4 linked regions of the Styela clava genome follow. The main gene of each other region encodes a partner of the protein of the gene in region 4 in a complex. Links are inferred from orthologs where the notes say so. Each region holds a gene or a part of one and is shown on either strand. Other genes may lie near its edges. The genes, in order: small nuclear ribonucleoprotein Sm D3-like, pre-mRNA-splicing factor CWC22 homolog, cysteine-rich PDZ-binding protein-like and uncharacterized protein LOC120339308.

Region 1 (7,308 bases), on a different chromosome or scaffold from region 4:
TCTGGCATAATATCGATGCTTCTTCAACAACAGATCAGAACAACTGAAACAAAATGACATTAACTTAATTAAGAATGCAAGTTAATAAACCCCCAAATCACACGAACAAACGAAGATACCTTTCTTCCTTGTGTGCATTTTTGTAATAATTCCTTGTTCTTATTGCAGAGTAAAAATGGTAGGCTTCATTTAGATAATTCGCTTCACTCGTTCGTAGGCTGAAATACCACTTCAATAAGTTTTTTGTAAAACTATGATTTTTTGGCGACTACATTAAAGGAAATTATTTTTAAATAGCACTTACTAGTAATGATAATATAATTGCCCAATCTTTGATGCAATTTCACCTATTTGCCATCGTTTCAATCCATATACACTGTCTAAAACCAGTCTGAAAATAAGTAAAAAACATTATGTAATGTTGCACATATCATCTTATAAAAAGTGTGTAACTGAACAGTCTGTAATATTATAACGATTTTTCACACGTTTGGTCTGGAAAGACACTAATACAAAAAGAGCTACGGAGTTTTCAGAACACCCCCCGCCCAGAAATCTTCTGCATAGTCTATGTAGTTTAGGTCACCCTGGTTGAGACAGCAAGAATAAGGATTCAAAATTAGCATAGAATGAATTAATATAAACCTGTTTTCTTGTTGAAATTTCCACAACTTTGTATATGTCTCAAAAGTTCTGGCAAAATATGGTTGCCATTGTCTTTGCCCATATTGAGGTAGATCTCTGAAATGCAAGAACAAAATATTACCAACAAATACATACCATATCCTTTAATTATCTGGTCAAGTGTGACAAGATCAATCAATCAGGATATTGGGGTTATGGATTCTAAATGTGTACGATTCTACCCTTACGTTTCAACTGCAGTTTCGGAAAGACGAATTGTCAAGTAGTATTCTAAATAATCGTTCATATATATTATCCTTACAAGTGTTCAAACCACAAAATTTTCAATCTGGAAAAACTGTCACAAAGGATTTTGCAGAAAATCCTGATTTTTGTATTTGATATGCTTGAAAATGTTTATTGAAAATGTTGAATTTCAATTACCGGAGTCCATTGAAAAGATTTTTAGAAGCTTCCAATAAATCACCAAATTCCTGAACTACTTTTCGTTCCTCAGCTGTGGGAGTCGGAGGCACAGTTTCCATCATTATGTCAAGACCACAATACCAAAAGAACTCAAATCTGTTATAAAAAGAAATTGGACCCATTTAAATCTTGAACCAAAATCTGACAAAGTTATATTCCCAGATCCACACTAAACAAAATCAACGTATCGTTAGCCTATCATGATTGAAAAAAGGATGCCACTTTGGTATGCGATTTCGAATCATAAAACTACTTAATCTCATAAAGAAATTCGCATAGAATTCAGTTTCTAATCCCAAGTCTGTCATCACTGGGTTAGGGTTAGGATAATTCAAAAATCTCTAAGATCAGACATTGGGATTACATACCAAAGTGGCATCAAAAAAAGGTACCAACAACATACAGACATAATGCCGACTTTAGCAGACTGAAATAATGAAGCTAATAGCAGCAAATTAACATCACAAGAAATATAATGCACAGATCAAGAATAATATTATTCAAATTCAACTTGTGTTAAAATTCGCTCTGGTTCGTAGACATTGATATAACAGTAATCACATTCGAGCAATGCTAAAAGAAATTGTCCCAGGTTGAATAAAACTTGGAGACCAAAAATTGCAACACCTGTCTGCCTTTACATACAGGCAGGCAGATGTTGTAAAAGAAACCAAAACGAATGAAAAATAATTCAAATATTATGCAAGACAAACATGTAAAATCATATGCATCACTCCCAATATTGGGATCTCAAGATGATGTACATAATAACAGAAATATAATCGAAATTGAGTATTACCTAATATTTTAAGATTTGGTAGACTATCATTCCAAACTTCAAAAATTGAAATTTACACATTTTCTGGATCATTATAAAATAATCATGCCAAAATGGACATAAGTATAGATATTAATATCATCCAGTCACACTAAAAACAATCAATAATTTACCACAAGCCAGAACTACATAATGGAATGATATAATACATCAGCTGCCTACCAGAAATGAATAAATCACAGACAGTAAGCATGGATCTGTGGATAGCAGAAGCTTAGATTGAAAGGCGGTGGGAGCAGCTCCAACAAAATCTAAAAGACTTGGGCCAATAACTTTTTTCAACTCTATCCAAGGATTAGTGACGTCCACGGAAGCTGGCAGAATCAAATCCACCACGGCCCCTGAAACCACCGCCTCCTCTGCTGAATCCGCCTCTTCCGCGGCCGCGAACTTGAGCTTTCAAAATAGCCGCTTTTCCTCTTCCGGCAGAACCACCGCGTTGTTGCTTCAGCATCGGAGCATTTTTAAGCATATCAGGCAAAATCATAAACCTAACTTGACTTCCGCGGATGTAAATATTCTGCAACTGTGCTGTTCTACCGTCTCTATAAGTAACAGTTACATCTGTCATTTGACTATTCATGTTATCCTCAGCTTCTATGAGTTTTCCACGATAAACTTCTCCATTCGCGGTTTCACATGTGATAATATGGCCCTCCGCCTCATGAAGTACTTTGATTGGAACTCCAATAGACATTTTTAATGAAATTATGTGCCAAACAATTGTATTCAGCGAGATAAAAATTGAAACTAACACGGCGAGGTCACAACTAGACAATGCGCAAAAGCAACACCGAAGGAAAGCCTTTTTCCCGCGTCCGCGTCTCGTTGCCTCATCGGAACTGTGAAAAATATTCGAACGAATGACCTAAATGACGATATTATTAGGTCATTGCCGGTCATTGCTTAAACAGCCTTATTAGACAAAAAGGAAAAATGGATCGTTTTGAAATTTTAATTTAAATTAGAAACTAAATTTCGACAACCACTTTGTTTATTTCATTCCGTGTTCATTGACATGTCGTTTACATTTTATTTTAGTTACGTTAACCATACGTTATTATTACTTATCGATCTTAAGATCGGTAAGTATGTTGATAGGTATTTTGTCTGTTTGTTTGTTTGTTTGTTTGTTTGTCTGTTAGATACACGCGATATCTCACGAAAGCGAGGATGAATCCGCTCCAAATTTTGCATATGCATTCATCATATCTCGGATCAGAAGCCTATTGATTTTGGAAGAATTAGGTCGTATAATTAGCGAGTTATTAATTAATTAGTGATGGGACACAAGGTGTCAGTGTGGAATAGGAGCGCTGTTTTGGGGGATCCCCTAACTTTCGATCGATAAGTCTTCGGTCTCTGACCGATATTCTCGTTAAATATTGTTACATTTTTGTTCTGAGTTTCCTTATCGCATGTAGTCAATTGAAACAATTTCGAGCACAGTAATAGGTATAGGATGCTATTCGATTGCAACGGGTCATAAAAAGGGGGTTGATAAACATCATTATGCGGAAAAACTTCTTCTCGAAAATCGCTATGTCCTGCAGTCTGAGAAAAAAAGTGTCTGCTGATATTTCAATGCCGGCACTGTTTATAACCCGATAACGTAGTCCATAACGTATTGAAATTAAAACTATCATTTAATAACAGCAGGTTTACTTAAGAAACTTCCATATCAAGCACATATTTTTAAAAATAAACTATAAGAGAATTCAGATTCAAATACAGATGGTCTCACTCAACACGAACACTAAAAGTAACTATAGATACACAATCAACATGATCTATAACGCTGTCTTGAAATTCAAACGTCATATTACTTTCTACCGTCGATAGAGATTTTGAATTCAACAAGTGAGCAATTGCGTGAGTACAAAATTGTACGAAAGAAAAGTGCCTCAAAGAGATGGTAGCCTGCTTGAGCATTTCCAACGCACTATCGTAGAGTTTATGATTCTCAATAACAATGGAAATATATATATAACGTAAAATGGTCACATAATCTTAAACTTGTGGACATTCCCAAAAAGTACAAGCGATTAATCTGGATAAAATTTGTTTTTTTTTATTGTTTTGAATTAAATCTAAAAAATAATTGATCCAATAGCCTACATTTTATTTGTTATCGTCTGGAAAAAGTGTGCAAGTTTATTTTTTGAAACTGACGTTTTACCGTTCAGCTTCTCATGTGGAGAAATTTTCCTATAGTTCTTCAACAGTCTTCAATTCTAATTTACTCATTATTGTCGTGATTCCGATTTATCGACGGAAAAATAGCAATTATATATCAAACTCTTTTTTTTTTTTTGGTAGGAATAAAAGCCAGATCAGATGGAAGGCGTTTGATCACAAACCATTGTGAAGTTATGATTCCAAAAATCTCAATGAAAGATTATTTGGATGTGTTGCTGGCCTCTTGTTTTACATGCGATCTTTGATAATTTGAGCACAAAAAATATATAAATATGAAACCTTCATAGAAAGATATCTTGAATTGGCAAAATTTGATCAAAATTGTAAACTTGGCCCAAGTCAATAACAATTTTTTTATAATTTCGAAACAATTTTAATGATATCAAGTTGTGGGATTCAGGGGGTTCAAGCGACGCATTCTTAGAATGTCGTGATAGTAAGCGAACCCATTCTTAAACCTTGAGATACATTCACTATCCGAAATGAGCGAAGCTGTTGTTAGTGAGTTTGGTACAAAATAGAATCGGAATTTTTTCTAAATTTTAAATTGCGTCACTGTTTGGCTCCCATCCATATACAATCCACAGAATGTGAAAGGCAAAAAGAATTTAATTTGCAAAACTTTCTTGAAAATAAAGAAAAATCGGGCTGGCCAGCCGCTCATCGACTTTATTATCTGTGGGTGATAAAATAATGAATCCTTTTCATTGGCTAATGATCACGTTTTGAAGCGTCTTCATTATTGGACACGTTTAGTGGACATTCGTTTAACTGTGAATCTTAATAGTGAACTTGGGGGGTAGCTGACTCCGATGACCTTATGGTCGTATCGCTCTCCCAGTCTATACCAAATTAACTTTGTGTATATTGTATATATTAATTTGTATACCATTGTTTGTTTTCCGGTTGACAAATCAATAAATCTCTCTCTCTCTCTCTCTCTCTTTCTCATAACGATCGTTTTGTTGTTGTTGTTCTTGTTCATCGACACGTTTTGAAGAAACCGCTTTTCTCTTCGATTACTGGACCAATTGCTTTGAAATTTTCAGTGGTGAAAGATGGAATTTTTCTCCAGAAGTCTATAACTTTTATTTTTTGCTATGATGTCATCAAAATTATGTGGCGCTACGTGTCCATATATTTGAGCATAGCTCTCTTGTTTGCATGATGACGCTGTTGATGCAGGGCCGGATAACCCATTAAGCAAAATGAGCACGTGCTTAGGGCAGCAAGGGAAAGGGAGCACCACACAAATTTCAATTTCCATGGTCGAATTTTTATGACTCCGCAGTATCATGAAATAACTCGAATCGGTCTGACGACCCAACAGTTAATATTGGTCCGGTATCGAGCCCACATAGGCTAGCTAGAAACTTTTTTTTTTGAATACTTTTGCAATAAAAAGAATTGAACAAAGTTACTTCTGTCAGATAATTCAATGTGGTGGTCCACGCACGACAATTGGGAATTAATTCCCATTGCGCCCCCTTGTTATTTTATATAAATAGTTTTCATTGTAACTTCAATACTGTTAAAAAGCGTCAGTCGTAAAACGTTTAAATAGCATTTCACCATAACTCAATACTGTTACAAAGCGTCAGTTGTTAAACGTATAAATAGCATTTCACAGAAACTTCAATACTGTTAAAAAGCGTCAGTCGCTAAACGTGTAAATTGCATTTAACTGTAACTCTAATACTGTCAATATTCGATTTTACTGAAAGTATTAGTTTCACAACGCGAGACTAACTCTATATAGTGACATAGTCCTGCTCTATTAGGTGATCCCGGAGTATTCGTACCAAGATGGCGCACAACCTGGACATAGTATGGGTACCAGGTTAGGGTTGTTAAGGTTGTGCGTCATCTTGGCACGAATACCTCCGGAGCGCCCTCTATTATGCTGACAGATTTGTGAGTGTATAATAATGCAGCGATGTTGTAGCCAAGGCTGAATAAACCATTGAGCAAAATAAACACGTGCTTAAGGCACCAATGTTACCACCACCACCACTAGTTACATACCTATTATTATCATTTACATATAAGGCAACAAATTTTTAAGTGCTTATGGCTTCCAAAAGGCCATATGATTCGGCCCTGCCTGTATGGATGAAAATCAATTTCTTTTTTTTATTTGCGTGAAAGTGACCAATCGAAAATAAATTAACAGTGACGTACAATTGCAATTTGCAGCCACTGAGACACTTCTTTCGCTTAGAATTGTTCAAGCATGGTTGTAAACATTACCTCGTTTTCGTGTAAGTTTTCAGTTGTGTTTCCAAATAATAGCTGTACATCAGATACCTTAATTGCCATGATATACTCCGAGGACCTTTAGTTTAGTTGCAATAATCAAAAATTGATACCGTAAACGCTAAGATAGGCAAGCCTAAAATTAGCTATCAGTGCCTGTAAGTGGCACGTGGTTCAAGATTTTGAATAGAAATAGTTTGCAAACATGTGAGCCAGTTTGTAAGCGCCAACTCTCCAAAACACTTCCAAAATACAGGGAGAATTTTTGAGGGGTCAAGGTTCGGGCACACGTCCATTGAAAACACAGAGCTATATAGAGGACTTGCACGGGTCACGTGACTTTGTTTACTGGACGGCAGAAAAACAAAAACGTCCAGTTGGCTCCTGTCAGTTGCAGGTCGGATTATACGTTTCCGTTTTGTTTGGGTGTGGAAAATGGTTATTTCGTATTGTACCGTTGGCTGTATGTATAGTATAGACAACGAAATGGATCTTCAGTTATATTCCACTTTTTCAAAAGATACCATCTATTGGCAGGACTGCTTGGTGTCAAGTTCAGAAGTCATCTCGCTTGTGTTTCACTGTTTGCGGACAGCACTTCGTTGGTGGTGAGTGATAATGTGCCGTTATCAATTTCTTTAAATATTCATAAGCTTCCCCATTTCAAAGGGAAGAAGATGACAAACTACTGTTATTGGTAGGCCTACTTGCAGACTTGACTTGTGTAAGGAATAAATCATCAATTGCCATAAGGTATTGTTTCCCTGGTTAGCAGGTAATCTATTAGTAAGTGTGAAAAGTTGAATAGATAACTAAAGTTCAACACCAGTCAGTGCTCATGCAAAAAATAACCAGAATTCAATTGAATTCGCTATCTAGAAATACGCTCGCCACCGCATCTCTGA
Region 2 (8,542 bases), on a different chromosome or scaffold from region 4:
TGTTATTAAAAATATTGCATGTCATATTTGTTAGGAATTCGTTGTTTTGTCAGTTTTTGTTCTAGATGCATTGTCTGTGCCGAATCATGTATCAGGTTACACAAATACAGGTTGATTTTTCATGTGTTATCCACTTGAATAGATTTGTGTATACAAAACGTCTGAACTGGAATGTTACCATTTTTAAAATAAATTTGTACTAACCTTCGTCAGATGATTCATCAGAAGAAGATCCAGAACCACTTGAACTTCCTTCACTGCTTTCGTCAAGAATATCTAAAAATCGGCCTTTTTTATCAAACAAAGCAATAATAATGAAATTTGAAATAGGGGTACTGAATAAAAAAGAGGGATATTATCATACATGCTCAATTATAAATTCTTATAAAAACCCTTTCCCAAATATTGACGACTTCAAAAATCTTGGAACAGAAGTGCCTGTGCATTCCTAGTAGATAAAAACAACAACCTTTTTTAATCTGCTTATAATTTTCTTCATTTTGTATAAAATCAGGATCCATATGAAACACATTCAGTTCATTTTCCGTTCCTTTCCCTCCACCATCATCATCGAGTTGTAACATGTGTGTGAATTGATCAGTTTCTTCTACTAGATCAAGATCTTCTTCAACAGAAATATGTTCCTTGAATCCATCTTTTCGAATAGCAAACATCACCTGATTAAAAAGAAAAGGTAATATCAATTTAAAATTCAGTGCCCTGGATTTTTCAATTCATTTTGAATTTGAATTCTCTACATTGATACTCATATCAGTTATGACCGAGAACTCGTGATATATTGGCTGTCACTGGCTTGAACAAATTTATTCTTGACTCAAGATCTCCGAAACAAATGTGAAAATTAAATTAGATGACATAAAATGATTGACAAATAAGAGTAGCAGAGTGGAAGTAGAAAATTGAAATGTAAGAATTTTTTGCACCGTAAATTTTAGCATGGATTAGCATGATTTAGGATTGAATTTGAAAACATATAATGTTGCTTTGACAATATCTTTTGATTTCTATCCTATATCAGATCAAAACGTATAAGTCTGTTTGATGCGATTTGCTACTTCATAATATAGTCTTCAATATTAGAAAAATAAATAAATGTATCAGATGTAAATGAGATTTGAGAAATATCTGCAATCAATGAACTTATGACAGTAAATTATAATTAGTTACTTCAATCATGTATTGCACTCTCTTGTCAAGCTCTTGTTCATGTAATATTGTACGTAAACGTTCCATGACTGCTGCAAGACCACGGGGTGATACCTCTAATAATTTTTGGCCACACTCTTTTAAGAATCCAATTGCAACCTGAGAAAATTCAAGAGAAAGATTTTCACTAAAAATACTTTAGTTTGAGATAAACGAGTTTAAAACATGCCATTTTATTTATTTATCATACATTCACGAATTAACCAAACCACAATCACATACCTCCACAGAATCATCTGTCGGGTTTTCAAGCAATAGAGTTAAAATTTGAAGTCCAATAATCTCATGTGCAACTTGCTGGTTCATCAAATGGGCAATGAATTGTGCAGAGTGGAGGCATACTTCCTAAAAAATAATGACATGAAGTCAGGTAAGAAAAAATATCAATCTCTTCAATTTAGAATCTCAGTTGGTAAAGTAATAAAATGATCTGATCAGCCACTCACAGTAAAATAAATTTGATTCAAAACTAATCATGACCTTTCATGGCATTCACAAACCCCGACATTTACATTAAGCATTGATTTAAAATGATGGCAATTTTTCAAAATATTATTATTGTCCCTTTTTGCTTTATAAAAACCTCACTATAGTGTCTCTCACTATAGTAATTTATTAGGAAGACTCGAATATTACGAGTCAGCTGTGACAACTTGACTAACACAAAATTAATATTATTTAGGCCTATTGTAAATTAATTGTAAAAAAAAAGTTTATTCAACACTATCTTCACAGGAGATAAATTTACGGACTTCGGCTAGCTACCTTTCTATTTCTTTTATAAGACCGACGGAATTGCAAGGCAAGTCTTCTTAATATTAACTCTCCATTTTGTGGAAAACGAGTGTTGATGATTGCAACGAGAGCAGCATATACTTTTGTAAAGGTTGGAGAAGCATTTTGAGCTTGCAATATAGATTGGGCCAACACTCCCCTGAAAAACATGTTAAAAGTTTTTAATTCGACAACAATCTTGACCACATTATTTGGAAATGCTTTTAAAAATTTGCAATTGTGATCAAAAAGACATAATGAGCAATATCATAACATGACGAATATATTGACAATAATATAGATGCATCTAAAATTTCATAGTATTGGACTATTGGCATTAGATATAACAGTTTATCTAAATAAAGAACCCGACACACAGTGGCACATTTTACCTTCCACGAACTATATTTTCTTGAAATAACTCTCTGACAATGCTTGATATATTTGACGTGTTCACTTTATTGATCAAACCGTTGATACTCTTCTTCAGAGCTTCCCAACTTATTCTCTGATATTGCTCGCTACAAAATATTGAAAAATTCAGTATTATTATTAAGTCATCATTTTGCTGTCAACAGAGAAATTCCATTAATTTAATAATAAATGCTTCAAAGCGCATATAGCAGGGTGGTCCAAGGTTGGTGGCCTCGCAGGGCACACTATTATATTTGATGTGTTCGCGGGCCAAAAGAGTTCAACTTATAAATAACTGCAGATTGATTGAATACCGAATTTTACCAAATTTGAGATACAGGAGGGTAATTACTAAATTTTCTGACATATAGGCAGCATTTTTTGTAATACTAATTAGGCTGATTGCGGAAAACCACCCAACAGGAATTATTTTATGGTTATTTTTATGACGAAACAACACCAAATTTTGTTTTGTTAGATTTTTTGTTTACCCTCCCGCAATGGCAGCGCGGGCCATAGATAACGAAGCCTGGGTTTGGATCACCCTGGCATATTGGAACGCTGTGTAACACTTTCAGCATTGTGTAAGAGAAAATAACAAAATTTTGAAAATATTTGAACTTCCACTCAGCACGCCAAAAATGAAGATAAGGTGCTCTCAACATGGTGTGGGAGTGGGCATGGGTATATAAGATATATTTCACCGTTAGTACATCACACAGGTATATCAAAAACAAAAATTTTATAGGCAGAAGAGCATACCAATAGAATATAAATAGTTGGGAATTGGGATAGAAGTGCCTGTTTGAAGTCCGAAGCTTACATAAATGTTAAAGTACTCATACCAATTAATCACCATATATTTCTGGGCAATTCAGTGGCTGGAATTCGAACTTGAAATGCCACAAGTGCTAACCATAGCATCAATTCGAATAATATGGTCATAATATTTTACTGTTTCAAACCTGCTCTTATCAGTAATCTGCTGTTGCATCATTCGTAAACGAGCCGGAGGAATATATGCTCCTCCAGTTTTTGTAGAAATCATGGATTCTTTGTCAATTTTGCTCTTCTTCTCTGGAGGTTCTCCTTTATTCTTTTCATTTTTCTCCTCTATTATTTCACCTTCTTCCAGATGTCTAGCTTTACTCATGTTTTGAACTGAAAATTTATACACTACTGAGCTCTGAAGCTAGTCTATGTGCAAATAAAGATATAGATACATTTGCAGATTTGATAGACTAGATATGTACATTATGCGTAAATTTTATATTAAATTCCCACCCCAGACACCACCAAATATGACAACACTCAAATCAAACAAACAGACATTGAGGGACATTAATCTGGTAGATTTGCGCGTATTCTGATATTACTGTATGAATTTATGCTAGACTCTAGTCCAGGGAGGTCCAAACCCTGGCCCGCCGCTTCACTATCTGTGGCCCGCATCGCATTTGCGCAAGAGTGAACAAAAATCGCATTTGGCATTGTTTCTTCATAAAAATAACTAGAAAAATCTTTTGACATATTGTTACATCACTAATGTCAATGAATTGACTAGTGTCATGGTTAGCTGAGGCAACTAGCGAAGGAATAATGTGCTTTGCTAGTCTAAATTGTTAGCTGGCTTTCTATCTTTTTGGTCGGGAATATTATGCTAACAGAATATTCTTCATAGTAAACTAAAAATCCAATGGAAATCTATCAGCCTATAGGTTGGGTATGCCTGATAACTAAATATTAATGTAATGGCCGAACAATATAATTCCCGCCGGGTGTTTCTTTTTGCAACCAGCCTAAACAGTGTTACAAAAAATGCTGCCAATATGTCAGAAAATATAGTAATTATCCTCCTGTATCTCAAATTTGGTGAAATTCGGTAATCAATTAATCTCAGTCATTTATAAGGTAATTTTTAAACATGAGTTTGAAAAGAAAGTTGACTAACAGATTTTTGACTGGATATGGCAGATAAAATATCACAATGCTTGCCTAATAATATGTCTGCAAGTTGTATCAGTGACAATCTAAAACAGTATTTTTTCCTTATGGCACTTTTTCCAAGATGAGGAATTTGAAATCTTACACTACTGCACTAAATGTATTTACAGTAAGATTTTTGCAAGTTATATTTAGCTTTATTTGGTAGTTTTAGCATATGTTAGCTTGATAAATGACAAATAATGATCAATGTGTTTGGACAATAAAGTGTTTGTTTAGTATTGCACTAATTACCTATTCTTGGCACTATTGTGGCCCGCGAACGATACAAAAATGATAATGTCATTACCACTGTCCCCCCCAAGGTTGCCGATTTAATATAAAAATTGCAAGGAAGTATATGAAATGACATTTGCAAGACCTCTAAAGGTCCGTTCCGGTAGGTTTTCCACTCCGTTCCGGTAATTACAGAAAATTATTTTTACCACTGCCCCCCCCCCCAAGTTTGCCGATTCATTATAAAAATTGCATGGAAGTATATGAAATGGCATTTGCAAAGCATCTAAAGGTCCGTTCCAGTAGGTTTATGTGGGTTTTCCACTCCGTTCCTGCAATTTAGAGTACCGGTACGTTCCGGTAATTGGGGAAAATTATTTTTACCACTGCCCCCCCCCCCAAGTTTGCCGATTGAATACAAAAATTACATGGAGGTATATGAAATGGCATTTGCAAGACATCTAAAGGTCCATGTAGATTTTCCACCCCGTTCCGGTAATTCTGTAATAAAAGGAACCGTCTTATTGTTATTTCCAGTACCGGTATTTCTGTCCAAGATTTAGTCACATTTAGGAAATAGAGTCCGCAGCCAGACAGCTCAGGTGGATGAGTTAAGCCATATCTGAATTTGCTAATGTTTCAGTAATTCCGATAACAGGATAATAAGATTTCAGCAGTTACCGTACCGGTATTCTACTCTGCGTGGGTTCGCAGGTTCGAATCCCATGCAGGGATGGTTATGTGCGAGAGGATTGCTGGACTCCTCGCCGTCATTGGGTGGTTCACGTAACCGCTGGTCGGTTACGTCTTCCTCCACCACCAAGTCCATGCCTCCGAAAACAAACAATATAACTAATCCCATACGGTACCGGTACCAGACTTGAAATGGTAACCTGACCAACCTGACGAGAGGCCATATGCTGATATGGGTGGTTCGCCATATGGATAAGCTGCTTATCGGCTTTCCTCTCGCCCGGGATAAATATGTAAATCCTATCCTATTCTACAGTACCGGTAACTGGTTTAATAATTAGGACGGTAGGATCAAAGTGACTATCTTAGTCGATTTGGGTAGGATAGCCCGACGTTTAAGAATAGACGAACCTGACCAAAATGTTCCCACTGCTCCAATTACTGATTTACAATACTAGCCTATAATTCCATAGGACTATTCCATAAATATAAAGTAAAAGTTACACCAATTTTCAATCAAAATGTGATATAACCATTTACTGCATTTCAGCATTTAAGTGTGCAGCGCGTTATACACAGTGCACGTTACACTTAAATAATTTCGGCAATAACTTCGGAAAAGCTAATGAATTAGTTAATTAATCAAATTAATTGAAGTAGTCGCACGTGCTTAATTGAAAAAAAAGTCAATATATAAGTGCAAACGATATTGAAGAGATTCGCCCAAGCTCAAAGCGAAATGTGCGCAAGTACGTATGCGTTCGCTCACTAACCCAAAAAATTTTGCTAAACTGGAAGTTTTGTTAGATTCAATCACAAGTCGACCCGATATAATTTCGGTTAATGAAACTTGGCCTAAACCTGACCAAGTTGGCGCTCATATAAATTTACGAGATTACAGATTCGTTTCAAATGCAAGAAGCAACCGGGTGGTGGTGTGGGCTTGTATATTAGAGATGGTATTACCTTTAAAACCAGACCGGAATTGTCCATGATGGAGGAGAAAACGTTTGAATCGTTATTCATTGACATTAATCTTAAAGACCGAATTGTAACTTGCGGTACTATTTACCAATCGCCGCTGTCCGATAACTCCAGAAATAAGAAATTTTTTAGCCACCTCAACATTGTTTCGCCCTCACTTTCAAGACAAAGTATACTAATGAGTGATCTTAATTATGATCTGATGGACACATCGCACCATTTTGTCAACGAACTGACTGAGCTAATGAACCAATATTCCTTTTATCCCACTGTTGCCAAACCGACCAGAATAACTGAAAATAGCGCAACAATTCTTGATCGTATATGGACAAACATATACGATCGAAAACCTGTCAGCGGTATTCTAACCGATGCCATCTCTGATCATTCACCTGTAATGCAGTGTATGCCGATAGAGCAAAAAACATTTAAACACGAGGAAAACAGTTTTTCTCGATCATTTAGTCCGAACAATATGGCCAATTTTAAAACGGCGTTAGAATGTATCGATCTCTCTGGGGTGTATGAAGAATCGGACCCGAGCAATGCCTTCAAAAACTTCTCTTGTCATGTTATGCCAGTTTTTGATCGCTGTTTTCCTCCGATTTCGACTAAAAAAACTAACAAGAAGTGGTTTGATAAAGAATTAACAAACTTCATAAGAACAAACAGAAACGTTACAAATTATCTCTTATCGAGAAATCGCAATGTTCCAGGATTAAGTACTTGGAAATTAAGAAAACCTATTAAAAAATGATACTGTCCCAGAAGAATTTTACTACAGATCGGTTCTGAATAAAACTAAAAGCGATCTGAAAAAGTCGTGGCAAACGATGAATACCCTGCTAGGTCAATGCAAATTTAAACTGTCAAAAGTATTTGTTGTAGGAAATATTGAAACGTGTGATCCCGTGTCTATAGCTGATCATTTTAATAAACATTTTTCTACGATAGGAAAGCGAATGGCTGAGAAATTCTGTAATGATACTGACGGTAACTTCATGAGTTACATGAGTAAATCGAGCACCTCAAGTATTAATGTTTTTATCACCCGTAACAGCCATTGAAATACAAGCTATCGTTCGAGCTTTTAGACCTAACACCAGATGTGAGCTTGATGGAATCCCAATTAAAGTTATCAGAGCAATGCCATGGATTTGCATGTTATCTCCGGCTCATATTTTTAATCTTTCTTTGCAATCGGGACAATGTTTTGATGAATTTAAAATCGCTAAAGTAGTACCACTTCATAAAGGCGGAGACATGAAAAATGTCAAAAACTATAGACCGATCAGCCTACTGCCATCTTTTTCAAAGATTTTGGTACAATAGACTAGTTAACTTTTTAGAGCAAAAGAGTTTTTTCTATCATCAACAATTTGGTTTTCGCAAGGGACATCCCACCTCTCAGGCTACGTCTCCGCTTACAAGTAAAATACTGGGCGATTTGAGAACGGTAACTATACCAGTTCTCGACCTTTCTATCCTGGCGGACCGATAAAATTAAATTAAATGTACTCGCGGACCGGCAAAAAATTGTAATGACCGGAACAGACAATATAATGCAATGTCGGGCATTCAATATGCTTCTAGACAAAAAAAGAACACTTAAAAACATTTCACACCACGAAAAACTATCAAACAATGTGCCGGCTAAAAATTGAAATGGGTGAAACATAATGTAATACCATCTATTTTCGTAATAAAATGCAGTACTGGGCACCCATTATGCGTAAGAAAGGCACGCATAAAACATCTCACATAAAAAACATGTACATGCCAAATAATGTATAAACACAATTAACTCTAGTGAGAATTTTGCTGCTGTTTCGTTTCCAATATTAGATTGCAAACGAGGCCTCAAAGAAGTTTCTGCAACACGTAGCTCTGCAGAGGCGAGTAGCCGATTTCGTTGCTTCGTTTTAATTGAAGCTAGTGATGAAAATGTTTATCCAAAATTGTGACAGTGATTCTTTCTTAAATCTGGACTGTAAAGTAGAATCACAATTTTAATCAAGATTTTTCTTTTTGACTGGCAAGTTGGTACCAGGATCAAAATCCTACTATGTCTGCTCAAAATATTGGAAAAGATCTCTGCCGCCCATGTTTTTTTTGCGCGTCTCGTGACCACCTGCAGGGTCGCAACAAGTTCATATCTTACTCTTACTGGAATATTATACTGCTCTTGACTGTTTTCTGGTTTAAACAAAGGAAATATGCATAACGTTTT
Region 3 (8,808 bases), on a different chromosome or scaffold from region 4:
AGTTGTTTTTGGGGTCGTCCTGAAAAAAGCTTGGGAACCCCTGATGTGAAGCCTCACCACTATTCAAAAGTGCTGTCTTCTCACATTGTTGTAGTTTCTAGGTGAATAAATGCTAAAATGCTTGTTTTATATTAGTCATAGAAGCACTACATGCCGTTTAGTATTTGAGATGTCCCAGGTCACGAGACTTTACAAATGTTATTTTTAAATAATTTGGGTGGCTTGGAAAAAAGGTTGGTGACCACTAATCCAAGGTGTTTATTCGTTTTTGTTTGAATTTTGTGACATCAACAATATTTACTAACTGATATATAACTTTGCTCAGCGATGAGTTTTCTTTACTTCTGAGTGAGTATCCGTTTTTTTTGCTTGAGCAAGTTTCCATGAATAATGCTTTATTTTTTCTTTTCAATGTCTTCAGTGATCATCTATTTGAATCTATAACAATACTAACTTGACTGATTTTGGTCAATTTGAATAGGATAGGAGTTCATATTTATCCTGGGCACTGAGAAAAGCCTATTAAACGACTTAATCCTATGGCGAATCACGGCCTCCGTCCAGTTACCAGTTCCATGTCGGGTACTGAGCGACCCCTTACTCCGGGCTGTAAATATTTTGACTCCTAACAGATGAGAAAATCCAATTTTGGTAAGAAAAAATTGTGTGTGCGTAATTATCGGTTTTTGGTATTTGCCTTTTTTATGATTAGTGTGCGTTTTGTTGACAAGTTTATGATGATTGATTGGCGCTCCAGAAGTGTGTGTACCAATATGAAGGTAACTAAGATTGTTCGCCTATTTCACATCAAGTTGTGTAAAAGGACTGAAACCTATGCACTCGGCTAACACAGACAGTCGCTGAACTTGTAATAGAACTAAAATAAGGAAATCGGAATAAAATTAAGGCCTAATCCTAACCTGGCACATACACTACGGGGGGTACCGATTGATTGGTCTAAACCAGGGGTCGGGAACCCATGGCTCGCGAGCCATATATGGCTCTTTTGGTGACGGCATATGGCTCCCAGAAAAATCTAATATTCTAAGACTAAGCTTACTATTGTTACAAGATTTCAAACTCTTTTATAGCCAATTTTGGCAGGAAATTCCCAAAACGTTTGAGAACGCGCGCCCAGCACATGTCTATGTTATGTGAGATAATCGCCAGACAGGCATTGTGACAAACAAGGGGATTCTGGAACATATATTGTGACATCACAAAGCGATAGAGTTTTAAAAACACTACGGAGATGCCTAAACGAAAAAGGGTGATGAGAATCGTAGATTTCAACTTGGGCTGCATGTGAGCAACCGTTCAAGGCCCGCAGCGACTACATGCAGCATCAGAAATCACATTAAATGTATATTGACATTGTATGTGTTGACTTTTGAGTAAACATTTTAGGCCTGATCAAGTGAAGAAATGTTATATGGCTCGCACGGAAATGCAATTGAAAATATGTATATTTTATGGCTCTCTTGACCAAAAAGGTTCCCGACCCCTGGTCTAAACATTTCTTCATTTGCCCTATCTTTTAAATCTTGATTAGAACCTGCAAATAGCCAAAAAGATGATCTTCATTACTAAAGGTCGAGCCAAACTCGTAAAAAATTTGTTGTAGATTTAAGATAATTATTTCTTCATTTTTGATGAATTGATTTTTGATTATGCAATCAATCAATTGAATTTTAATTATTTTTCCAGAATTTTTATTCTTAATTAGAACAAATATCTAAAAATAACTGATATAATGTCTGACGATAATAAAGCAAATTCTGAGCCAGCAGAGGGATCCAAGAGTCCGAAAATTTGTGAAGAAACTAAACCAGAGGTTGCAGAGGAAAAAGTTGAAGTCTCTACAAGCGAAAGTGGGGGTGCAAATCAAGATACAGCAGATGAAAATGACCCATTTAAAGATCATAAATTTGTAGTTCCATTTACGCAAATCAAAACTGTTTTGGACATGGCAATTTGGACAAAATCAAGCGGGTATGAAGACTATTTAGGATTTATAATGATGCTAAATGCAGCTATAAAAGGTAAAAAGCTTAGTGCTCCATGCGAAGTGTCTGAAACGACGAAAAAAATTGTCGCACTTTTGGATTTATTGGATAAATGGATTGATGAAACGCCGTCGATAGACCAGCCGCAAAGATTCGGGAACAAGGCTTTTCGTACTTGGTATGAAAAGTTAAAAGAAGAAGGTGAAAAATTGACCTCTGACCTTTTGCCTGATAATTTAAAAAGAGCTGCTTCTGAAATTGTGGAGTATTTACACGGGGGTTTCGGAAATTCCACAAGAATTGATTACGGAACTGGTCACGAAATGTCATTTGCTTGTTTTCTTTGTTGTTTTTTTAAGCTCCAAATCCTGGGGGAAAAAGATAAACTTGCGGCCGTTTTTCACGTCTTTAATCGTTACTTACACGTCGCTCGGAAGTTGCAAAAGACTTACAGAATGGAGCCAGCAGGGAGTCAAGGGGTATGGGGGTTAGATGATTTCCAATTTTTACCCTTTATATGGGGGTCGTCGCAGTTTTTCAGTCACCCCACGATTCTACCTGTTCATTTTGTAGAATCGAAAATTGTCGCTGAAAACCGATCAGAATACATGTTCATGGAATGCATTGATTATATCATGTCCGTAAAAACGGGACCTTTCGCTGAGCATTCAAACACTCTCTGGGGGATTAGTGGCGTCCCGCATTGGGGGAAAGTCAACTCCGGCCTATTGAAGATGTACAAGGCGGAAATACTTCAGAAATTTCCGATTATTCAGCATTTCAAATTCGGATCCATACTCACTTTAGATCCGAGTCCTAGACAACCTGGTATAAAGTTGAATTGAAGAAATAATAAGGAATAAACCTTTTTAAAAGACAAGTCTTTACATTAAAGCTTAAAAACTACCTCTGTTATAGAACAACGAATCAGTTTTTAAAAAATTACAGTGGAAATTTGAGACGCTTTGTGAACAGCATTTCCCGTTGAAGAAATGAGTCATTTGTTTCTTATTAATCAGTTATTTCTGTTTGGGACATAGCATGTCGTATATTTTTGCTCACCTAATCGTAGACAAAAACTACTAGGGCAGGGAATTCAGGCAAAGTTAACCACAGCGTTGTATTAAGTTGAACTTGAGCAATGAAGTGGATTTTTTAAAACATTGCACTTGATTAGCTTGTGTGGAACCTTATATCCGTCCTTATTTCTACCCTGCTGTCTCTATGGTAAATCAACAGCCCTCTAAGGAGAACCATTTAAATGGTAATTTGGACCACATACTGGTATCCTTCCCTGTTCATAACTTGCTGTCTCTATGGCAGCCCAATAGCCCTCTATGGTCGTTGGGACAATATATCTATCCCTATTCCTAACCTGCTGTCTATATAATATATAGCAATCAATGGCTCTCTGTGACGGAGGCAATTCAAACGTCGATTGGGACGGTATATATCCATCCTTGTTCAAACAATTGAGATTATGCAGTTTGAGTATAGAATTTCTATGTCCATATATGTAAGCAATATTCTTTTCTCACTTTGACTTTTACTTAATACAAAATGATTTGGGTATTCATCGTGATTGGAAAATTATGGTTCCATCTTTTTGGATTAGTTTTTTAGATTAATATTTTTCTGTAATTTATTCTTTATTCCAGATCTGTTGAGTCATTTTGAATGTTTCATATTTTTTTGAACTCTTCTTGACGTTTGAAATCTTTTGTATGTTTTTGCCATCAACTGTTTGTCCTTAGTATGCACGTTTGCTCGAAACAGAGTTTTGGGCCTTCAACTAAATGTGGAAAGAGAGAGAGAGCGAAGTCATATTTTTTATCAAACTAGAGAACAGAAATATAAATAATAATAAAATAAGAGAATCGAAAGTTTTCGGTTGATGACTGGTAGGTAACGAAAAGACCATTCGCGATCATCTAAGTCAGTTACCACCAAATACAAACACTTAGGCAGCACACAGCGTTCCTTTTCAAACATGCTAGTTAGCAGTGTGGAGCCCAGCGATCCTCCCGAGCATAAATCAGCGGTACGAACAGTTTGTTTGTACCTTTATCTATCAAGTCTAAATATCGTTCTTGTGGCCTATTAATTTATATATTATGGTTACTTTCTTTTAATTAATGAATAAATGTTTTTAATTGTTTTATTATTTCAGATTTATAATTTAACATAAATCTTGAAATATGGACCAAATAACAGACTCTTCAATGGCAGAAGGGTCAGATGGAAATGGCACGACCTCTGACCCTGATGTGAAAGGTGATAATACGGCAGAAGGAACAGATGAGATGGACTTGACCTCTGACTCTGAGGTGAAAGGTCACAGGAAGAAGAAACCATTTCCCAGAGAAGACTTCAACCCTGATGAATGGGAATTAGTCGAAGAAGACAATTGTTTAATCGAATTGCATGGAGTCGCGCGTAAAAATTATCTCAAAAAATGTGATAAAGATCGAGTGAAACTTATCGGATTATTTGATGAAAATGGAAAAATGTTTCTACAATTGGATGAACTTATTTTTATGGGTGAACCGACAGAAACGTTTGGCACCAACGCACTTTTTGAGGAATATTATTCCGACGGGGAGTCTAGTGAGGATGAGGACACATTCCGTACCGTGACACCGACTCCAGGAAAACAGAAAGTTAAATTACGTTATTTAACGCACACAGAAAAAAAGATTTCAATGTATAGGGCCTTGTTAGTAGACAAGACGGTAGATGAAAAAAGTGAATCTCAATGATTAGGGTTTTCCCCCATATTTGCTATTTTCAATTTTTTCCTGGGGGGAGATATGGACTCTTTTTCATCCTTTGATTTGTATTATGTTGTCATGGTTTTGTATTATGGCATTCATGGTATTATTGCATCACATTTTTTAAAATTGTACTCAAATTCGTCCGATGATTAACTTCCAATGAAATTGCCCTATTTTTAAATAACTCAGCCATTTATTTTTCATTGGATGCCAAATTCACTTATTCTGGTCTTTCTAAAAATTTTAGTTATTTTACGAATCAGTGACCCCTTTATATTGTTATTGAGTATTGTTCAAAGTGCAATGTGTGAAATGACATATGAAACGTGCAAAGTGTTGATATAGGGGTCTGACTAATAGTTAGGTAGAAGTCTCCCAAGCGCTCCAAAGTTGATTGAACGAAGCGGAAGGATATTCGCGGGCTGGGAGAGGGGAGCGCACGAATGCGGCCGAAGCCGTATAGTTGAATTATTATGAATATACATATGCCTAAACATGTGCGTCAGGTTGAGTCATCCAAGTCGAATCAATCACTGATTTCTTTTAGATGAGTTGGGTTACTTGTAATCTCTGATAAATATTGTCTTGACTCTTCAGTCCATAGCACTGGTTACCAGTCCAGCAAGGGTTTTAGAATATTTTGGTCACATTGTTATAGACTCATGATCTTTGGATTTCGTTTTTTAAATTATTTCTTGTTTCTTTTTTTTAGATTTTAATCTTAACTACTCTAGTTAATACTTTTGAATTCTTCAATATTATCTGCTGTCTTACTTAGGGGACAATTTTCCTGGACAGAATAGATTGAACGACTGGACAGCAATGGTTTGCGATAAATGTAAGTATTTTATTATTGTTTTCAATGGCGAGATTGTCTCATCTGGTGAAAGTAATAAGACTGTTTTGCCAACGCAGTGTTGGTATAGCAAATTGCACATCAAGCCCGTGCTTCTGAAAACAGATACCATACCCGACACAGACTGGTAAACGAACGAGAGGTCGGGGTTCGCCATATGATCAAGTCGTCTTATCAGCTTTTCTCTCTGCTGATATGAATATCTAAATCCTATCCTATGCTAAAAAAATAAGTGACACTACATGGAGAACAAAATTCCTCTCCAAGAACTGCAAAATTTTTTCTTAGAGAAAAATTTCTTATCGAACAGGGAACGTCAACATAAATAGCTTCTTCTTCTTGCAACTAATCTGAAACAATCTTGAGAAAGGATTACCATTCTTCTCAGATTCCTTTGAAATTAACCGTCGTGGTTAAACTTGGTATATTCTATTCACAGGTCAGAAAAAACTGGGAACAGTGGCGACACCTGATCCATGGAAAACTGGAGCCAAGAATACAAACGGTAGGAATGTTTTTATAAGACGTCTTTTGACCTGAACATGGTCTAATACAAGCAGCCATTACTGTGTAAAGGCTACTATTTATTTGGAAGGACCAGGATATTTCCGCTTTGTCATTACCTACCCAATTTATCAGACACTGGGTGTGGGGCGTGGGCGAGGGAACCAGAGATGTTCGACCTGCAGTGTCGATGCAGTTAATCTGTCGTTTTGTTCGTTAAACCATCGCATCACCCAGGATTGCTATAGCGTAGCAAATTTTAGGGGTTTAGCATAGGAATTTAGATGACAAGTGGCAACCTTTGCTAACCGGTAAAAAATTTTGTTGTTTAGGGGGTACATAAATACTTTGTATTTGGTGTAGCTTAACTTATTACTTATCGATCTTAAGATCGGTAAGTATGTTGATAGGTATTTGTCTGTTTGTTTTGTTTGTCTGTTAGATACACGCGATATCTCACGAAAGCAAGGATGAATCCGCTCCAAATTTTGCATATGCATTCATATCTCGGATCAAAGCCTATTGATTTTGGATGAATTATGTCGTATATTTAGCGAGTTATTAATTAATTAGTGATGAGACACAAGGTGTCACTGTGGAGTAAGAGCGCTGTTTTGGGGGATCCTCTAACTTTCGATCGATGAGTCTTCGGTCTCTGACCGATATTCTCGTGTTGTTTACTTATTTAGTATTGTTGTGAATTGCAATACAGATGCAAAATAGGCCATGGAAGAAATATAATAAGAAACCTTGGGAACCACTGGTCTACATAGTATGAATATACGGTGCACTCGACATATGTCTACCAAGATGGCGCACAACCTGAAATTAGTATATGTACCAGGTTAAGGTTCAGGTTGTGCGTCATCTTGGTTTGCATACTTCCAGAGCGCCCAACGTACAGTTTATGGAGGATGTTGTTTTTTCTACAGAGATGGGCAAATAAAGTATTTTCAGGCTCGACGGTGTGGCTCAACGGGCTAAGCGTTAGGAATACGCTCGCCACTGCACCTCTAATTACTCTACGTGGGTTCGCAGGTTCGAATCTCATGCAGGGATGGTTATGTGCGAGCGGATTGCTGGACTCCTCGCTGTCGTTGGGTGGTTCACGTAACCGCTGGTCGGTCGGTTACGACTTCCTCCACCACCAAGTCCATGCCTCCGAAAACAAACAATATAACTAATCACATACCTGACTTGGAATGGTAACCGGACGAGAGGCCGTGGTTTGCCATATGGATAAGCCGTCTTATCGGCTTTCCTCTCCCCCGGGATAAATATGTAAATCCTATCCTATTTCACAGAGGGGGGACGTAAGATCAATGAAAACAAAGCTTTGACTGGGACGAAGAATCGATACAATCCGTACAGCAGCGGAAAGTTTAAAAAATGTCGGATATGCAAATTACAAGTTCATCAAGTTGGCTCTAATTTTTGTCAAGGTAAGGTAATTCCCATTCCCCTCTTCCAACTTATGGTAAGGGGCAACCCTCTTGAACCACTTAGGATAGTCATCTTCCCTCTTGCTACAACATATTTGCATTATATGCATACGGATCCGCCAGCACAAAAGCATAAAAGAAGGATAAGTAGCCGGTCTGGCAGAACCGGTAAAATCGATAGTAGCCTACATATTTTCAATGAATTGAAATTTGAAAATGCAGGCATATAAACAATTTTATCTAACTGAAGAGTCCAGCTGCACACTAACACAAATGTATTTCTGTAACAACAATCAATTGTTGTAAACTGCTTGTCTGAGGATGTCTGAGTTTGGTCGGACGAAGGTTACAGAAATACATTTGTGTAAGTGTGCAGCAAGACGCATTAATTGGATAGAATAGTCATGTTTATTCCAGCTATAGCATCCTTGAAATATACGCATACGGATCCACTAGCATAAAGGCATAGAAGAAAGATAGGAAGTTAGTCTCGCGCAACCCAATGCAAATATAAACAATGATTTGATTGATTTTTGCAATTTCCATTCAAATAGATGCCTTCTAGGTTATGCTGTGAAACTTCATTTATAAACCTTAAATTTATTCGAATATTCGATTTTCTTTGGACATCCCTGACTTGAGTCTTTTATAATATTCTTGGAGGTCAAACTTCAAACATTCTTCTCCAACACCTATTATTAATAGTAGATTCTAGGATATACCATATATTGTTTTGTTCCTCACAGCTGTATTAAATGAAGTAAAAATACTTGAACAATTACTGATTAAAACACAACAAACCTGGTGAAGATATATTGAGAACTGACTTCATCACAAAATTGGAATTATAAAAGTGTTTTATGGACACCCTATATCGACGCATGAAATCCAAATTGGGCTAAGTCCATTTTTCTAGTTTTGAGAAAAACGCAAAAAACGTTTTTTTTTTGTTTCTTTTTTATATTTCTCTAATACCTTACATCAAGGATGTCTAGTTTTTATGGTCCACCAAAGTTACAATGAAGGCCATATTTTAATGGTATAAAAAAATTTGTGCTCCCCCCCAAATTTTTTTTTTTGGGAGTTTTTTGGACTTAACCCTTTTTGGCTCTCAGTTTTCTGGACTAGAAACAATTTTATTGGACTTAGGGCCCCTTTATTATGTTATTGTAGAGGCAACTTATCATTGAAGAACGTCAATAATTCCCTTTTACAACGTTTTTGAC
Region 4 (8,124 bases):
TGAGGTAGACCTCTGTCACAGGGCTACATTGTCGTTAAAAATTGAAATGGGATACTGAGTTATCTCCAGTCGATAACTTTTGCGACTTTGCTAAGGTCATTTGAGCCTGTTGATAATAACTGAAGCACAACCTGTGTTAGCAAAACGATGTAATTTGCCGACGTTTCGAATTTCTATACAGAAAAACTTCATCAGGACATGATATGGAAAGGACACAAGTGGATATATATAAAGCAAGAAAAAGAAAAAAGGAAAAATATGAAAAAAATTATCGTGGCGTCAACTCTAATCTAAAAGGATGATGATAAGATAATATGTATAAACAAGAGAGCTACGCACAAATATATGGACACGTCAGACCAGAGCGAATCAGTCCTTACCGGTACCTTTGACGCTACCGGTACCCTCAAAAAAGTTCTGAAATTCCAGTAGCAAGAATTTTGCAGAATCAAAACGTACAGCCAGTCATGACACTGACTAAAATCCGTGTTCCCATGGATAAAAAATAATACAGCAAAATTTTAGACGAAATATCAAATTTCATAGAATTCACGCAAAATTTTGAAATAAATAAAAGTAATAGCCTTCTAGCGAAAAAATTAATCTTTAACCACTGAAAATTTCAAAGCAATTGGTCCAGTATTCGAAAAGAAAAGCGTCTTTTTAAAAACGTGTCAAAGAACAAGAACAACAACAACAACATAATATTGAAACGATCGTTATGTCCACTACGTGTCCAATAAACAAACTAGCGCAAGTTCAAACAAAAAGGGGACTATTTAAACAATGATTTATACACAGGCGGGAAAAGTGTGGTTTCTTTGTCATTCATCGAATTCTTCTCTTTATTTATGTGATAAGATTCGAGAAATAGTCTTCTCCTGTATTGAGTTTCTTTTTCTAGTATCCTGCTGTTTTCCCAGTCGATGCTATGGTTATTAGAAAGGGCGTGTTTCGAAAGGGCCCACTTGTCAATTTTCTTTTGTTTAATATCTCGTAGATGTTCCTTGCTGCGAGTTTCCAGGCTTCTTTTTGGTTTCTCCAATGTAGACTGAAGAACAATCGCTGCATGGGATTGTATATACAACTCCGTTTTTTTTGTTTAGGGCATGGGCGGTCTTTGACGTTGGAGAGCAATTGGCCGATAGTGTGTTGGGGTTTAAAACTTACTCTGATTTTAACGTCTTCCAAAATTCTTCGAATTTTTTCACTTAGTCCTTGGACATACGGAATGGTGGTAGATGCGATTGGTATGGGTTTATCAGGCGGTTTTTGGAGATTTACATGATTTCTGAACATTTTCGTTGGATATCCATTTTGTCGTAAAGTCTTCTTAATGAAATTTATTTCTTGTTTCTGCTTTGTTTCATCCGATATAAGAGTTTTGGCACGATTCATAAGACTACTAACCACTGAACGTTATGGTTAAGCGGGTGGCTAGAGTTAAAATTGAGGTAGCGATTAGTATGGGTCTTTTTCCTAAATATATCAGTCGTCAATTCTCCATTTCCTTCACTCTGTATCTGGACATCTAAGAAGGCTATTGTCCCATTGACTTCTTTTTCTATGGTAAATTTTATGCTTGGTTCGATCGTGTTGCTGTGGTCGTGGAACGCGTCACAAAATTCCTCAGGTCATTTGAGGGTGTTATCGTTGCAGCAAGGAAGAGGCATGAAATAAAATTTACCTAATTGTGTGACAGTGTAGTTATGTACACAAATTAAATTAGGTCCATGTGTTCAATTAGTACCGGCAGTCCGGATATAAGGTAGCAAATAGATTATAATCTCATCAAATTGCCATTGGTCTACCAGTATTATAACTTCAATATGTATTGAATCAGACTTTTATGAGTTTTATTCCGTCAAAGGAAACATGATCCTTCCTCGTTGGTTAGGCACAGAAATTGATACGGCATAGGATGGAGGTCCGTCAAAAATAAAATGCGACGATAGAGCCAATCGATTTACCGCCTTCCTTAATACCCGATATAAAGCAAATGACACAAGGAGGAGAAGTACTCACGCTACTCGACCTCAAGAAAGCCTATTTTCATTGTGATATGACCGAAGCATTTAGAACCTTTCTTGGAATAACAGTGAAAGGGGTACACATACGTTGGTGCAATATTCCAATGGGACTCAAAACTGCCGTTGCGTTATGGTCGGCTAACATGCAAGAGTGTGTGGTGAAACCCATAACAGCGACGTATCGGGAACACGTGACTAACAAAAAGTGATTGGAGGAGCAAAAAGCGTCGCTGATAGAAGCATACATAGACGACATCTTCCTGAGCACTAAAACAGTCGAGGACCACCTAACGTTACTCTAAATGACCTTCGAACAATTAACAAAATGAAATCGATCTTTAAGCATCAATAAGTGTTTTATTGGAAAAGAACCTGCTAGATCAAGATCAACCTGCTAGGCGCCACCTTGAGTGGGGAAGAAATAGAGGTTCAACCGGAAAGACTGAAGATGATGAAAGAACTACCACCGGCGCGAAATATATACAAACTCAGAGGATGGATCGGTGCTTTGAGGTATATAGCAGATCATATTCCGGAACTCAATCGGAAACTAGCGAAGTTTGACGCCCTAACAGGAAACGTACCTACCACAAGAAGCAGAGGCACGCCAGTAGTATGGACTAAAGAATTACTTGAAGACTACAAAATCGCACGACGCCAACTAAATAACACGAAAATATTACATGATGTAGACCAAAAGCTTCTATTGTATGTCGTAACGGATGCTTTAGAGAACGGGTTTGGTGCTGTCATATTTCAAACAAAAGAGGGGAAGGAATCACCATTCGAAAACGTTTATCCTATAGCGCACTATAATCACCCCAGCAGCCAGAGCATATGACCCCTGCACGAAGGGGATTAACGCACAAAGGAGTCGGTGGACAAGTGGCAATCTATTCCATACGCGATTCCTTTCACAATCCTAGCAGATAATACGGGAGTATTTGGCTTAAAAAAATGAAGGAATAACAGAAAAATCCGAGCCCTAAGATGTTAATACAACGATGGCCAACTCATTTGTCAGGATTCCAAATAGTTAAGTAATACACCCATCAGTCAACTAATGAAGTATTTACCTCGGATGGTTTATCACGTGCCTACTGGCTGGAAATGGCTGCCGGAGAAGGCGAGACAGGAATTTGGTCTACGTACGTGACACCAACAGACAAATTAATAGAAAAGTTTCAATTTCTTGTTGCGTTTTGTCATAAAATACTATTATCGGGAAATATGATTATCGTTAGACATAGGTAGATTCCGGTTTTATTTTAAAGTCTTCCCCCTCGGTAAAATTTTTTATGTTTCAGTATTTGTAAGATAATTCACTATATAATATAATAGGCAAATTTCGTGATGTACAAATTAATAGAAAAGTTTCAATTCCCTGTTGCATTTTGTCATAAAATACCATTATCGGGAATTAGGATCATCGTTAGACATAGGTAGATTCCGGTTTTATTTTAAAGTCTCCCCCCCCCCCCCGGTAGAATTTTTCAGAATTTGTAAGATAATTCACTATATAATATAAAAGGCAAATTGCGTGATGTACAAAATAATATAAAAGTTTCAATTCCCTGCCGCATTTTGACATAAAATACTATTATCAGAGTCATTATATAATGGCTCTGCTATTATCGTGAAATAGGATTATCGTTAGACATAGGTAGATTCCGTTTTTTTCCCTGGTAGAACTTTTCGTTATTTGTTGGATAATTAGATATATAATGTAATAAGTCAATTTCATGGTGTACAGAGTATTAGAAGTGCCGAAATCAGACTTCAAAGCCATCAAGACAATGTATCTCTTTGGATAAATGTTACTCAATTTGCTTGTTCAATCTTTATTTTAAAAGATGTATTTGTGCAAATCAGATTCGATTTGTTCATACCTCAATTTTATTGATGGAAATGAATAGGTTTGATATTCGCTTAGATTTAAATTTTCATGTTGTGAAACCCTCCTGCAGTCCTGTGAATTCATGCTTGTTTACCTACATACCTGGCATAAGGGATAAGAGATATTATTGTTCAGCTGATTTTGATTCATTTTCCCGGCAATTATATAAGTATAAGTTTATTTCGACTCCATAATCAGCAATAGACGATAATAATAGATAAAAATAAAAGTAACTGATTATAGAATCGGGAGAGCGAACAAAACCTCGAGTAAGGTTTGAAACGTACAGATTTTAGATGGAAAGGTATTGATAAAAGAAGTAGATCTAGTACGTGTTCGCTCACCCAAATTGTGGCTGTGCCATCAATTGCCGGACTTTGAGAGGTTCTGGCGCTGAGTTAAACATGGATATATGTAATTTAGTAATCTGTGAACGTTTAGGATGCCTTGACTTACGGTGAAACATTGTCAGAACGTCAGGTCAGCCCACTCTCGTTCTGTCGTTTGACGCTAGCCCAAACTCGCGGGATGCCAGCACACACTCGTGTGACGCTAGCCTACACTCTGACACTCGTGTGAAGCTAGCCCACACTCGTTTTTGTCAGGCCATACTAGGGGTAACTGGGCCGTGCTTGGTATTGTATTTGCGTTGTGTATATCAGATATGGTCTCTATGTTGTCAGAGTCACCAAGTTTTTATGTAATAACAGTTATAAAGTCAGTAAAATAGTTGGTTAACCCCTTGACGTCAGGCTGAATGTGGGCTGGAGTAATTTTGGTCTTATCATTGATATCTCTTAATGTGACGGCTGCGCCGTAGGTTACTGTAATATTCAATCCAAAAACAACAAATTTTCAATGCTCAATTTAATCAAACTAAATTATTTTTGACATATTTGCGATTAATAATTTTAAAATTTTGATTTGACTGATGAATTGACCAAAATCTAATTCTAAAATTTGATCCTCAAGGTAATACATTTTGGTCACTAGCAATAGGCGTAAAGTGAAAAAAATGGATGCAGGATTTTTCAGGGTAAGCCTCAATCATTTCATCGTTAAATAAATCTAAAATGTTGAGTTTCAATTGAACTATCTCATTTTCAACCTCAGCTTTCTGCATTTGGTCATTCTCACTCATTTCACTGTTTTTCACATTTACGTTAGTTGGTTCTCTATTTTTTGATTTATAAGATCGGATCTACTTTCTTAGATATGTTTTAACTTATAGGTTAAGTTATTACATAAGATTATTAACATAATTGGGGATGGTCAATTTAGAATATTGAATCCGCAAAATTCAAAGCATCTGTTTCCTACTTTGTTATAATTGGTATTCGTATTATAAGCTTGCACAAATTATAAATAGGATTAAATTAGTCAAATTATAGATTGGATATTTTAGCTTTCACATTTCATTTCTTTAGGGCACCAGTGCCGAGCAAGATAATCGTTTTGCCAACAAGCAAAAAAAATTGTTGAAATCGATGAAATTTGCAGACGGTTTGGAGAGCAAGGTAACATTTCATTTTTTTTTATAGGGATTGCTGGATTGGCACTTTCAATAACCTTCGAATCGAATTCTTAAATATTGAGGCATATTTGCTGTTATTATTTCTGTAGGATAATATTTCATTCATTTTTTATAAGTATTACATGGTTAAAATACTTAACTATTGCAGTATTGTATCAGGATGTATTTATATATTTTCATCAAATGTAAATTTATTGTAGTTCACCGTGTTTCTAGCGTTTTTGTTTTTAAAGTTGAGATCAGCCATGTTTCATTCAGATTGATATGAACAAGATCAATGTGGAAACAATTAAACCTTGGATTACGAAGACAATTACTGAAATGCTTGGCTTTGAAGATGATGTCGTCATTGAATATGTTTTTAATCACCTGGAGGAAAGAGTATGAAAGTTTTTATTTATTTGAGTAAAATTCATTTCATTTTTTTGAAATTCTCTTTCCTTACATATATTTTTCAGCATTGTGACTAGAGATGGGCAATGTAGGATAATTTACTATTATAGAATAGTTAAATCGAATCTAGAATACCGAATCCTAATCTATTTTCATACTTATTCAAAGAGTGGGAATTTCCACATTGCTAGATTTTGATGTTAAAAAATTTTAAATGTATTACTATAAATGTATTATTCATTTGGACATTTGATTTCATTTGATATTAAACAGGCATTTCCCAGGACAATAAATTTTATGAATATTACAATATATTTTGCCTTCCAATTGTTCCAAATGTATGTTATCCCTAAATACTGATATTCTAAATCAAGGCACGCTTTGAACACTTTAATAGTAAGCAGTTAAATACAAAAATAGATATGAAACATCGTTAAATCATTATTAATGTTAGGTCTGCCGAGTGTACTACAACATACCCACTGAGAATTACATATAAGCAGGACCAGCTTGTTGCCACTGCAACCTATGCACCCATTGTAAAATATTAAATTGAAGCGCTATCAATTAAAATCAACTTTTAATTCTGTGCGAGCAAGACTCGTGGAACCAAGTTTTTGTAAACACGATTTCGTACTTAGTTATTAGGTAATAACATCCAAAGACTCAATACGTCACTATCTCTGCCAGATGCGACAACTTTTTTTAAATTTATTGGCGACTAAAATACTACAAACACCCGATCAAATGTGCGTCTATCTTGAACGATAGAAACTGACCGAAAAATATGTAATCTTTTGAGAGTGAAATTCAAATGTGACAGATTTTCTCGTTTTGCGATATAACTTTGTATTTTGAAAAAAGGATGTAATAAAATTATTCGTAAATGATATTTGATGTAAATTAATCGCAAGTAATGTTATAACATTCAACGCTTTTGGTTCTGGTTCACATGCATTATTTTTTGAGAAAACTCGCAGGTCGCAAAAAATCATTTAATATAAAATGAAGCAAGGCACGTCTGTATCCAAATAAAGATTGTTGCAATCAGATTATCGGAATATCGCCAGTAAGTCGGCACAAATAATTAATAATAGTATACGCTAGCTAGATAGCAAAGCAGAAAAACGCAAAAATGGTGCAATAACGAGTCTTTGCCGTGAGGTGTACTTCGCCGACTTCGTGTCTTGAATATGCCGATTGAGATTACAGTGTCTGATGTTTACCGATTTCACGGGTTTATTGCGAGCAGACGCTGGAGAGGCGGAAACCGAATTTTGTTATCGGATCCTGCTGGATTTGAATACTTTGGGCTTTGAATCCTCCGGATTCGGTATTCTATATTGCCCATCCCTAATTGTGACACGTCCAGATTGAGCCGAAACAAAATCAAGTTTTGCATGATAGTCATGAGATACATATCCTAATCGCCTCATAAAGGATGATTATATTGGCGGTATGTTTGTCAAGAACCTAATCAAATGAAAGATTAGGAATATCTCTTTGTTTTCAAATTTTAATAACATTATTTTTATGAGGACAGTATCGGTAAAGGCTTTTGCTAGTGATGCACACACAAATGCAAATATTCACTGCAGAGATATTACAGATTCACTGTATGAACGGCGATTAACGAAAACTGATGGGAAGGCGTGCTATTGTTCTTTCACAATATTTTCTGATCGGAAAGTATTAATGCACCGACCCCAGAAAATTGGGTCTGAACATTGTCTTATTAGTTACAAAGTATGCCATATGTACATTTCTGCACATGCTGATTTTTTATTAAAATGGTTAGAAAATTGGGTCTGAACATTGTCTTATTAGTTACAAAGTATGCCATATGTACAGTTCTACACATGCTGATTTTTTATTAGAATGGTTATCTATATAGTTCATGTTTATTTTTTGTTTGTATTAGTATCCTGACCCAAAGAATCTTCAAATAAATCTCACTGGATTTTTGAACGCCAAGAATTCTAGACTTTTCCTTGGACAATTGTGGCCGCTTCTTACATCAGCACAAGAAAGTGCTACTGGTATCCCTTTGTCTTTTATGGAACAAAAGAAAGAAGAGATAAAACTTCGCCAGGTATGTGAATATTAAATAGGACAATATCTCGAACCTCTCGTATACGACTATTAAAACAACTAATTTACTCCTAATTAATTTGATGTGTAATAAGATCGAGGTGCTAATCTTGGATTGGATCAGGCATCAAGAAGGCTGGCTTAAAACATAATTGTTTTCCTGAACAATATATTATAGA

The links.
Region 1: uncharacterized protein LOC120339308 (region 4) and small nuclear ribonucleoprotein Sm D3-like share a complex: the UniProt entries of both Homo sapiens proteins name them as parts of the minor spliceosome. The link is inferred for Styela clava from reciprocal best matches to the Homo sapiens genes SRRM1 and SNRPD3.
Region 2: uncharacterized protein LOC120339308 (region 4) and pre-mRNA-splicing factor CWC22 homolog share a complex: the UniProt entries of both Homo sapiens proteins name them as parts of the minor spliceosome. The link is inferred for Styela clava from reciprocal best matches to the Homo sapiens genes SRRM1 and CWC22.
Region 3: uncharacterized protein LOC120339308 (region 4) and cysteine-rich PDZ-binding protein-like share a complex: the UniProt entries of both Homo sapiens proteins name them as parts of the minor spliceosome. The link is inferred for Styela clava from reciprocal best matches to the Homo sapiens genes SRRM1 and CRIPT.

Annotation. Positions count from the first base shown.
Region 1 is NC_135254.1:11,360,102-11,367,409, forward strand, and holds small nuclear ribonucleoprotein Sm D3-like, read right to left. Parts: upstream 2,772-7,308; 5' UTR 2,646-2,771; coding exon 2,244-2,645; 3' UTR 1,233-2,243; downstream 1-1,232. Other genes in the region: protein SCAI-like, read right to left, coding at 1-43, 120-218, 305-391, 646-741, 1,069-1,232. UniProt on the Homo sapiens protein: Plays a role in pre-mRNA splicing as a core component of the spliceosomal U1, U2, U4 and U5 small nuclear ribonucleoproteins (snRNPs), the building blocks of the spliceosome.
Region 2 is NC_135257.1:819,388-827,929, forward strand, and holds the start of pre-mRNA-splicing factor CWC22 homolog, read right to left. Parts: upstream 3,630-8,542; 5' UTR 3,569-3,629; coding exon 3,381-3,568; intron 2,523-3,380; coding exon 2,394-2,522; intron 2,162-2,393; coding exon 1,993-2,161; intron 1,573-1,992; coding exon 1,450-1,572; intron 1,327-1,449; coding exon 1,189-1,326; intron 678-1,188; coding exon 470-677; intron 277-469; coding exon 205-276; intron 1-204. UniProt on the Homo sapiens protein: Required for pre-mRNA splicing as component of the spliceosome. As a component of the minor spliceosome, involved in the splicing of U12-type introns in pre-mRNAs. Promotes exon-junction complex (EJC) assembly.
Region 3 is NC_135255.1:21,668,066-21,676,873, forward strand, and holds the start of cysteine-rich PDZ-binding protein-like, read left to right. Parts: upstream 1-5,480; 5' UTR 5,481-5,602; coding exon 5,603-5,618; intron 5,619-6,075; coding exon 6,076-6,141; intron 6,142-7,444; coding exon 7,445-7,582; intron 7,583-8,808. Other genes in the region: serine/threonine-protein phosphatase 2A activator-like, read left to right, coding at 1,754-2,851; general transcription factor 3C polypeptide 6-like, read left to right, coding at 4,205-4,765. UniProt on the Homo sapiens protein: As a component of the minor spliceosome, involved in the splicing of U12-type introns in pre-mRNAs. Involved in the cytoskeletal anchoring of DLG4 in excitatory synapses.
Region 4 is NC_135250.1:14,829,771-14,837,894, reverse strand, and holds the start of uncharacterized protein LOC120339308, read left to right. Parts: upstream 1-4,899; 5' UTR 4,900-4,942; coding exon 4,943-4,963; intron 4,964-5,354; coding exon 5,355-5,444; intron 5,445-5,719; coding exon 5,720-5,842; intron 5,843-7,775; coding exon 7,776-7,946; intron 7,947-8,124. UniProt on the Homo sapiens protein: Part of pre- and post-splicing multiprotein mRNP complexes. As a component of the minor spliceosome, involved in the splicing of U12-type introns in pre-mRNAs. Involved in numerous pre-mRNA processing events.